2 linked regions of the Solanum lycopersicum genome follow. The protein of the gene in region 1 interacts with the protein of each later gene in a pairwise test. Links are inferred from orthologs where the notes say so. Each region holds a gene or a part of one and is shown on either strand. Other genes may lie near its edges.

What was found.
Region 2: the proteins of splicing factor Cactin (region 1) and UPF0235 protein At5g63440 interact in binary tests that used the Arabidopsis thaliana proteins (3 or more experiments, as listed by UniProt). The link is inferred for Solanum lycopersicum from reciprocal best matches to the Arabidopsis thaliana genes AT1G03910 and AT5G63440.

The regions. Positions count from the first base shown.
Region 1 is NC_090809.1:63,797,511-63,802,028, forward strand, and holds splicing factor Cactin, read left to right. Parts: upstream 1-1,507; 5' UTR 1,508-1,757; coding exon 1,758-3,800; 3' UTR 3,801-4,027; downstream 4,028-4,518. UniProt on the Arabidopsis thaliana protein: Plays a role in pre-mRNA splicing by facilitating excision of a subset of introns. Required for embryogenesis.
Region 2 is NC_090802.1:58,721,770-58,726,285, reverse strand, and holds the start of UPF0235 protein At5g63440, read right to left. Parts: upstream 3,072-4,516; 5' UTR 2,976-3,071; coding exon 2,861-2,975; exon of another isoform or gene 2,157-2,860; intron 2,085-2,156; coding exon 1,970-2,084; intron 1,391-1,969; coding exon 1,237-1,390; intron 927-1,236; coding exon 830-926; intron 600-829; coding exon 511-599; intron 398-510; coding exon 329-397; intron 1-328. UniProt on the Arabidopsis thaliana protein: May play a role during early embryonic development. Probably involved in pre-mRNA splicing.

The sequences.
Region 1 (4,518 bases):
TAATTTATTGATATAGGTATTCTACTTAACTATACTCTATCAAATGATATCTTAGAAAAAGATTTGGAAAATAATTATTTAATAATGAGGATAAAACATAAAAAAAATTATTAATCCTTTTTTGATATGTTAAAACTGATAATTAAAAATAAAAATTTATTTTAGGATTGAGTTTACATCTGACAAGTAAAAGTGACTAATGTGTACTTAATGAGTCAAAAAAATATTCTTCCTGATAAACCTTTCTTTACTTTCTTATTAAACATATTTTTTTTATTTGGTTTAAAGATGCTTAATTTGAATAAAAAATATCCTCATTTTAATAAAAATGTTATTCATTTTCTTTTTTAAAATATATAGTGTTTAATTTTTCATTCGATATTTGACATTGAATAAGCGACTTTATACGTAAGAAAATCATATTTAAAATCTATGATTAAAAATGAAGGACACATTATAACAATCCTTGTTAGGTTTTAAGCACATCCTATTCCGATAAAATTATTATTTGAAAGAATAATATTTTTATCTTTTTCTTTTAAATCACTTTAATAAATAAATAAATAAATAAAAAGTAATTTTCTCCTTCTTAATTTCATTTTATCAATCATAATAAAATAATTATATACATTTTAACGGATTATATGTCTAATATATATATATATATATTATTCAATAATTTTATTATTAATTTTTATTTAGATAACGATGATAAAAAAAATACCCTAGTAAGATAAGTATTTGATAATAAAAAAAATTAATATTAGAAAAAAACATGTTTCAAAAATAGTAGTTATTTAGAAAAAAAAGTTTGGATCAAATTATTGATGATAAATATACTTTTAGTCAAACAGTTAATTATTGATATTTTTTTATATAAATTAAAATATCCTTTCACCTTTTTCATAAAAAAATATCTTTAATTGATATTAAATATATAAAACAAATTAATACCAAAGAAAAAAATATATAGAATACTGTTATAAATATTTTATTTTATGTAGATATCAACTAAGTGCAGTCTCTTCATCTTTTCATTACTATTCTTTCATTATATTCCACCTCGTACATGATCTCTATTGTTATGCTATTAATGTTATATCATGACAATCTTTTGTATAACTAATAAAAATGATAACTAATAATATTATTAATGTTGATTAAATCCCTTGCGGAAATGGACGAAAGAATATTGAATATGATTAAATACATAGAGAACTAATGATTGATTAAGATAAAATTGTTATTTCTAATAATGAATTTAAGCTTTATGTTATCGAAAATACAGAACAATTAAATTAAAATCTTTGGTAGGACAAGTGAATGGAAGAAGAAAGAATTTCTTATATCAATTAAGGATGAGTTATTTTTAACATGCACAAATAATTATTCCTTTGTTGATTTTTGTCGCCATTAATTAATATAACGATATAAATAATTTATTATTGACTTAATTTTAAATCTAGTATAAAATTATATGCTAATACACTTTCTAATCTTTGAAGTCAAATTTCTTGTTGTAGATCTCCAACCCAATATGAGTGAAAAATAACTTTTCATTGATAATTCTTGAAATTAATTAGTCAACAATTATTTTTTTAAAAATAAAATTCAAAATAAATATATTTTAGCCGCTTGACCAAATATGCCACTTTTATATATATAAAAAATATTTAAAAAGAAGAAAAGCAAAAATCCCCAAAACCTTAATTCATCTCAATCTGATTATTGGATATCTAGCTTATCCCGCCGCCGCAATGGGTTCCTCCGGCAACCGTCGTAGTAAAGGGAAGACGGCGTCAAAGTCCGGCAGACGCCGCCGCCGATCTTCCGACGATATTGCATCAGACTCCGATTCAATTTCTCACACCGAGTCGGAATCCGAATCCGACTCATCTCCGCCGAGTAGCAGCCGCCGCCGTTCAAGCAGTAGCAGAAGCAAAAGTCGAGGTCATAGTAGCAGATCGAGAAATCATGATTATGCAGACCAAGAGAGTAGTGACGACGAGCGAAAGAAGAAAAAGAAGAAAATTACTGAAGAAGAAATTGCTTTGTATATGGCTAAAAAAGCACAGAAGAAGGCAGCGAAAGTAGCGAAGAAGCTGAAAACGCAGAATGTTTCTGGTTATTCGAACGATTCAAATCCATTTGGAGATTCGAATCTGAACGAAAATTTTGTCTGGCGGAAAAAAATTGAACGAGATGTTACTCGAGGGGTACCGCTCGATACTTTCTCGATGAAGGCAGAGAAGCAAAGGCAGAAAGAAAGAATGGCTGAAATTGAAAAGGTGAAGAAAAGGAGAGAAGAAAGAGCAATTGAAAAAGCTCAACGAGAAGAAGAATTACAGATGCTAGCTAGAGAACGGGCCCGGGCTGAGTTCCAGGATTGGGAGAAGAAGGAAGAAGAGTTTCATTTCGATCAGAGCAAAGTCCGGACTGAAATTCGTCTTCGTCAAGGTCGTGTTAAGCCTATTGATGTTCTTATCAAGCAATTAGAACCTTCTGGAGATTTCGATGTGGAAATAGACGAGCCCTATGTGGTGTTCAAGGGTTTGGCTATAAAAGAGATGGAAGAACTTCAGGAGGATATAAAATTGCATATTGATTTGGATAGGGAAACACCACTGCATATACAGTATTGGGAAGCCCTTTTGGTGGTTTGTGACTGGGAGTTGGCTGAAGCTAGGAGAAGGGAAGCAATGGACAAAGCACGAGTACGCGGAGAGGAGTTACCACATGAATTGCTAGCAGAAGAGAGGGGTTTGCATTCCAGCATTGAAACAGATGTGAAGTCTTTGTTACAAGGTAAAGGTTATGGTGAATTAGAAGCATTGCAGTCACAAATTGAATCACAAATGCGATCTGGTACTGCTAAAGTTGTAGAATATTGGGAAGCTGTTCTTAAACGGCTTCAGATTTACAAGGCTAAGGCTTGTTTAAGGGAAATTCACGCTAAAATGCTGCGCGAACATCTTGAGCATCTTGAGAAACCAGTGGAGAGCCGTGATGTAGAGGTGGAAGAGACATTGAGGACTGATGAGGAAGACACGGATCATGAGCAAAATGATGTTCGAGCCATTTCTCCAGAACCAATCTTGAATGAGGTAGTTAAGGAGAAAGAGGAGGTGGAGGGGGAGGAGGAAGAAGAAATAGACGATGAAGAGGCTGGTTCTTATTCGCCTGTCTTAATGCACGGGGATGATATAGAAGAAGCAGTTGATCCTGAAGAGGACAGGGCGATACTCGAGAGGAAACGTATGGCTGTTTTGGAAGAGAGACGTGCCCAAGACAAGATTTTGCCACCGACTCCTGCAGAAGACAACTTTGAGAAGAAGGCTTCTAAAACTATGGGAGCAATGGAGGAAGGGGATGTAGTATTTGGCTCAAATGATGAAATTAATCTTGATTCACAGGTGTACTGGTGGCATGACAAGTATAGGCCAAGGAAGCCTAAGTATTTCAACCGTGTTCATACTGGTTATGAATGGAACAAGTATAATCAAACTCATTATGATCATGACAACCCACCTCCAAAGATTGTGCAGGGATACAAATTCAATATCTTCTATCCTGATCTTGTTGACAAAGCAAGAGCTCCAACTTATGTCATAGAGAAAGATGGAGATAGTGCTGATACTTGCATCATAAAATTCCATGCTGGCCCTCCTTATGAGGACATAGCTTTCCGAATTGTTAACAGAGAATGGGAGTACTCCCATAAAAAGGGATTCAAGTGCATATTCGACCGAGGAATTCTGCATTTGTACTTTAACTTCAAGCGTCACAGATACCGTCGTTGATGGGTTTCCAGAAGCACACCGCTTGTTCCAAAGTTCAGTGCTTTGTTATCCATTTCTCATTTATGTATTTGTTAGGCCAGCTTGTATGATATGTTCATTCATGAACGAAGAATTTTGTCAACTTGCTATTAGGTGTGATACAAATCTGGAGTTTTTCTGATTAGCTATGCTAATTGCTGAAATGAAGTCACTGTTGGCTGACAACCTTTAAAGGTTAGCCTTTTTAATGTTCCTTGTATCAGTTTGTCCAAGATCCAATTCTACCAATTAGCTTACGTTGTAGAGGCTAGCACTGAATGATTTTTATCTTCTTAGTACTAAGAGGAACACAGGTACCTGATTGGAGGGCTCCCTTTAGTAAACCCCAACATATCTTGTATCCTTTGACCTTTCCTGAGTAAACCACATCATGCCTCCAAAATATGCTGAACTTTTCTTATGATTAGCTATTATTCCAGAAGCCATTGAGAACTCTTGGTAACATTGGTACAGTTTTTGATGTTATGACTAACTGATATGTATGTAGCTGGAGTGAAAATCTTTGTTTAGTGGTTAATCGTTATAGGCTGCTCCTTCTAACTCACCGCCTTTTGATTGTGAAACAGTGTTATTCGTAATGTGTTATTTACCCATGTCCTAATTTTTTTGTTAGTTCTTTCCCATGTCTTCTCTGACCAAATGGATGAGTGGTGTTGGCTAACTAAAATTTTAATTTTCT
Region 2 (4,516 bases), on another chromosome or scaffold:
CTACAAATATTCTTCTGTGAAGCTTCTATTGAATTTGATATTCAGGTTAATATTACACCAAGCCTTAGAACTTAATCTCTATAGCCATAATATACATGCAAAAGATAGCAGGGAAGACGTATGCTCAGTGTCTCACAAGGAACAAGAGAACACATAAGAGTTCGTTTTTAAAATGGTATGTATTGTTGATGTCGAAATTAGCACTAGAGAATATCTACAGGTTATCCAGCCAAAGAGGAAACTGACCAAAATACTTAACAGAGAAAACAGTAGAATTGCGTATGGGGAAAACACACAGCTAAAGTTAGACGTGTCAATTTTGACTTACTACAAGAAGCTTTGATTTGCTATTCCATCCTCTTTGGAGAGTCATCTGAGATAATTTCAGACCCAGTACCTGCGTAAACAAAAAATCTTAGTGGTTCAGCGAATCAACCAGCGAAGTATCTAAATAATGAGCTCAAATATGAAAGTTTTTCCAAGAGGCAAAGGCAAAAATGTTCAGCATACTCGGCCCATGAATTCCAGAAGTTCATTATTAGCTTCCCCACGAGCTGCAGGTGCGGTTACAGTGACCCGAACATCATCTGCATTCACTCCTACAACAATATAAATGTCAAATAAGCGAGACATCAACATCAAGGCCAAAATAGATAAGTTAACAGTACAACCGCTAAATTTTTCAGCTTTTACAATTAGCAGAAGAGTAGGAATTATTATTATTAATCATCTGCAGAATTGTTCAGGTGGACAAATCATTTCCCAACACTGAAGAAATTGAAGCAAATGAGAGTGTCTAACTTCCAAAAATCATTGAAGGATTATTTACTTGTAATTGCTGACCGCTGGGCACGGTCCTCGACTTCTATCGCCACTTGCACAAGGCCACCTTCTAACTGTGATATACATGGTGGTACAGGAGCATCCTTCATAAAACAAGAAAATATTAATTCCTAAAGATATATATGTATCTGGAAGAACATGTATATAATTTGACAAGTAAGAAAAATAAGGAATTTTCTGTGTTCGAATAAAGCATAAGATTTTTTTACATGATCTTACAAACAAGCAAGGGACAGAGAATACAGAAAGATTAACAAGCTAATGCAGAAAAGAAGTGTAAAAAAGCAGACAACAATCATATTTATGGCTTGCTACAAATACAGAAAATATGTAGGCATAACTATATAATGCAGCCAGAAAGTGAATAACAGCAAAATCATTAGGATATAATACCTGTGGATTTGTCTCAGCCGCAATAGTGCTAAGTGCCCCATCAACTACATATATGAAAGAGGCAGTCTCCAGATCTTCTTCTGCCCGATAGCAGACAAACAGGCCACATCCCTTACAGGACATCCGAAACTGTTTCTCCATTTTCCCTTCACCACTATAAAGCAAAAGCAAAAGGTTTCAAAAGAATGTTCCATATTAAATTGTTACTCATATCAGTCATCAATAATAAAGTTCTTTTCCACTGAAGCAAGAGACATGAACTAAAGATCTCTACGTTAACGAGCAGCTGCAAAAGGCCAACCGACAAAGTACATCACAAAGACAGAAAGTAATTAAGTCCACGTTCAGTTCAGTTTTTCCTACTGACATTTGACTGTATTTTACTCACCATCTTTGTGGTTCCCCAATGGTAATAATATTTTGGTCTGCATGTTATCCATGTTCATTCCATATATGTATTCCAGTAATAATTTAGATATACCTATTTTAAACTCTTCTGATGATGTCATTCCACTGTAGGTCAAGTTTATTACTGCAAGGATTACATGAGCTTCATTTTAACTCTTAGAATCTAGCAACGCTTCCCTTACAAACAGAGCAAGGTATTCCATTTTAAACTGAAACACCTTGTAATCTTGACGTGTAATTTCGTACATTCTTCTACAGATGATTGCATATACTTTTAATGGAAGCAACATCAATATACTAAAGTTTACAGGAGCAGAAAGATTACCGCTTTAGAAGAACTTTCCCCGCATCATCTACACTCAGTCTTGCGAGATACTTTTTTTTATCCAATACATATGCCTTGTCGGTTTTCCTTTTTGGCATTTTCTGCAATTGATTATCTACAACCATACTTTAGCAAGGAGAATGCCCTGTAATTGGCAGTAACCCCATAATATATAACAACAACATACCCAGTGTAATCCAACGGGCCACAAGTGGGGTCTGAGCAGGGTAGGATGTATACAGACCTTACCCTTGCCTTTGTGGGATAAAGAGGCGGTTCCCGAAAGACCCTCGGCTCAAATGAGAAGAGAAGAGAAAAATGCCATAATATAGTAAAAGTAACAATAAATCCTCTCTCATTCTTAATATAATCATAAGGAAGTTTTTCTCCATCATGCCAATAACAAGAAAAAAATTATACACCACCTAATCACATCTAATCCGCGCACAAGAAGCAAAAGACGACAAACCATTAGACGTCGAAATTTGAAGAAACGGATAATACTGGAAACTAGAAATTCTCAACGTTCAACGTAGCATGTATCACATTCCATCATATAACCAATTACTAGTTACTACTATAAACATAATGACTCAATAGTTCAGAAGAACTTCTCTAAATCACTTCCAGACCATAGTTGACTCTCCAAACTTTTCAGATTTTAGCATAATTCAACTAGTTCCTTCACACCAATTATCATAAACCTCAACATCCCACCTCATCTCTAGAAGTAAAACTTTCAACAATAAAAAAAATGCGATTTACATAGTACTGTAAACTGAAAATTCAACAAATATAACAAATAACCAACCAAATTAACGCTCATTCGTTTTAAGTACAGTGCGAGTAAATTTGTTTACAGAATAGAGAGAAAAAGGTGAGAGTACGAACCGGAGATGAGGACATGAGAACTGCAGTGCTTGCAGTAATACACGAAGAGATCGGAGTTGGTACCGTCGGTAACTGCGTCTTCGCTAGAGTATGTGTGCGTTGTCCTCTTCGGCATCTTTCCCCTAAAACTCTCGCAAGTACACCGCCGGAGAAGGATGAAGATTTTATTATTTTTTCTCTTTTTTTCGTTCTCTTTCAGCTCGATTGGATATTCCCAGTAAATTCTACTTTTGCCCTTGTCTTTTTCTTATTTGGACAGTTTGCCTCCAACTTCACTGTAAAAACTCAAATGTGACCCCATAATTTTTCGAAATGAAAGATGTTCTCGGATTCTCTATTTTATTTTATTTACTTGTTCATTTTAATAAATTGAGGGATTTTTATTATTTTTCTTCTATACTACTCAAAACATAATTAGTCAAATTGAGAACTTTGCATATAACTTAACAAAGGTTATTTAATAAAAAAAATTTAAAGATTGTGTCACGTCAATATGAATCAAATAATATAAAACAAAAAAAGTAATAGATTATCTTATTGATATTTAATTTTACGTTGTATACAATAATATGAACAAAAATCTTGTGCATTTGCCTAAGAAAGTAATGTAGGTGTGAAATTCTACATTATTAACACAATGTTTCAATTCTCATTATCGTTTTCCTTCTCTTTTTTAATGCGGGACATAATGTGAGAAAAAATATAATGTTAACGAAAATTTGGAGTGCTCAATATTGTATATTTTTATCTACGACAATATTTTAAAAAAAGACATGCGATTTAAACTCTCAAATTTAAGGGCCTCATTTTTAATAATAATAGGCTATGTTATTATTATTTTTAACAAATATTGAATATTATTTGTAGAAAACAGTAACTTTTCATGAAAAATGAAGGAATTATAGAAGAAATTTAACATGTTTAAAGTATATCTCATTAATATAATTTTAAAAGAATTTGATCATATTATCAATTGAAAACTAGAAGAAAATAATTATATAAACATTATCAACAATTTAGGTGTAAGACCCATACATTTTCTTTAAGCCATTAATATATTTGAGTTGCCGCTTTAGATATTAATTCCTCGTACGAACTACCGTTAAATTTTCTAGTACTTTCTAATTTAGATTCAATATTTTTCTATTGTTTTCCCTTTGTTTTCATGTTTCCAGGCCTAGTTACATTAAATTCACAATAGACTATCATTTGATTTTGATTTTTGAGTATTGAAAATGTTAAGAACATTATTTACAATATGCATAGTAACATCAAATGATTTTGAGATTTTTTAAAATGATTAACACTGCTCAATTAGTAACATCATTACATTCCTCATATAACTTTCAAATTTTAAAAAATGATATTTCCTATCCGAACTATTGATTTAATGTGTATTCGTTCACTACCACTTTATAATAAACAACTCGAATTAACATCTTGAGCTTTTTTCATCACTTCAACGTCATCAAGTAATTCATAGTTAAGTAACAATAAAGACTCTTGTAACTGTCGATTTGGGGTGATCACATTGTTACTTTAATACAACAACATAGACAGTATAATCACACAAGTAGAGTTAGGTAGTAAATATGGCGATGTATGATAATAATAATAAAATGAAAACAACAGATAGCAAGATGTAGAATAAGCACA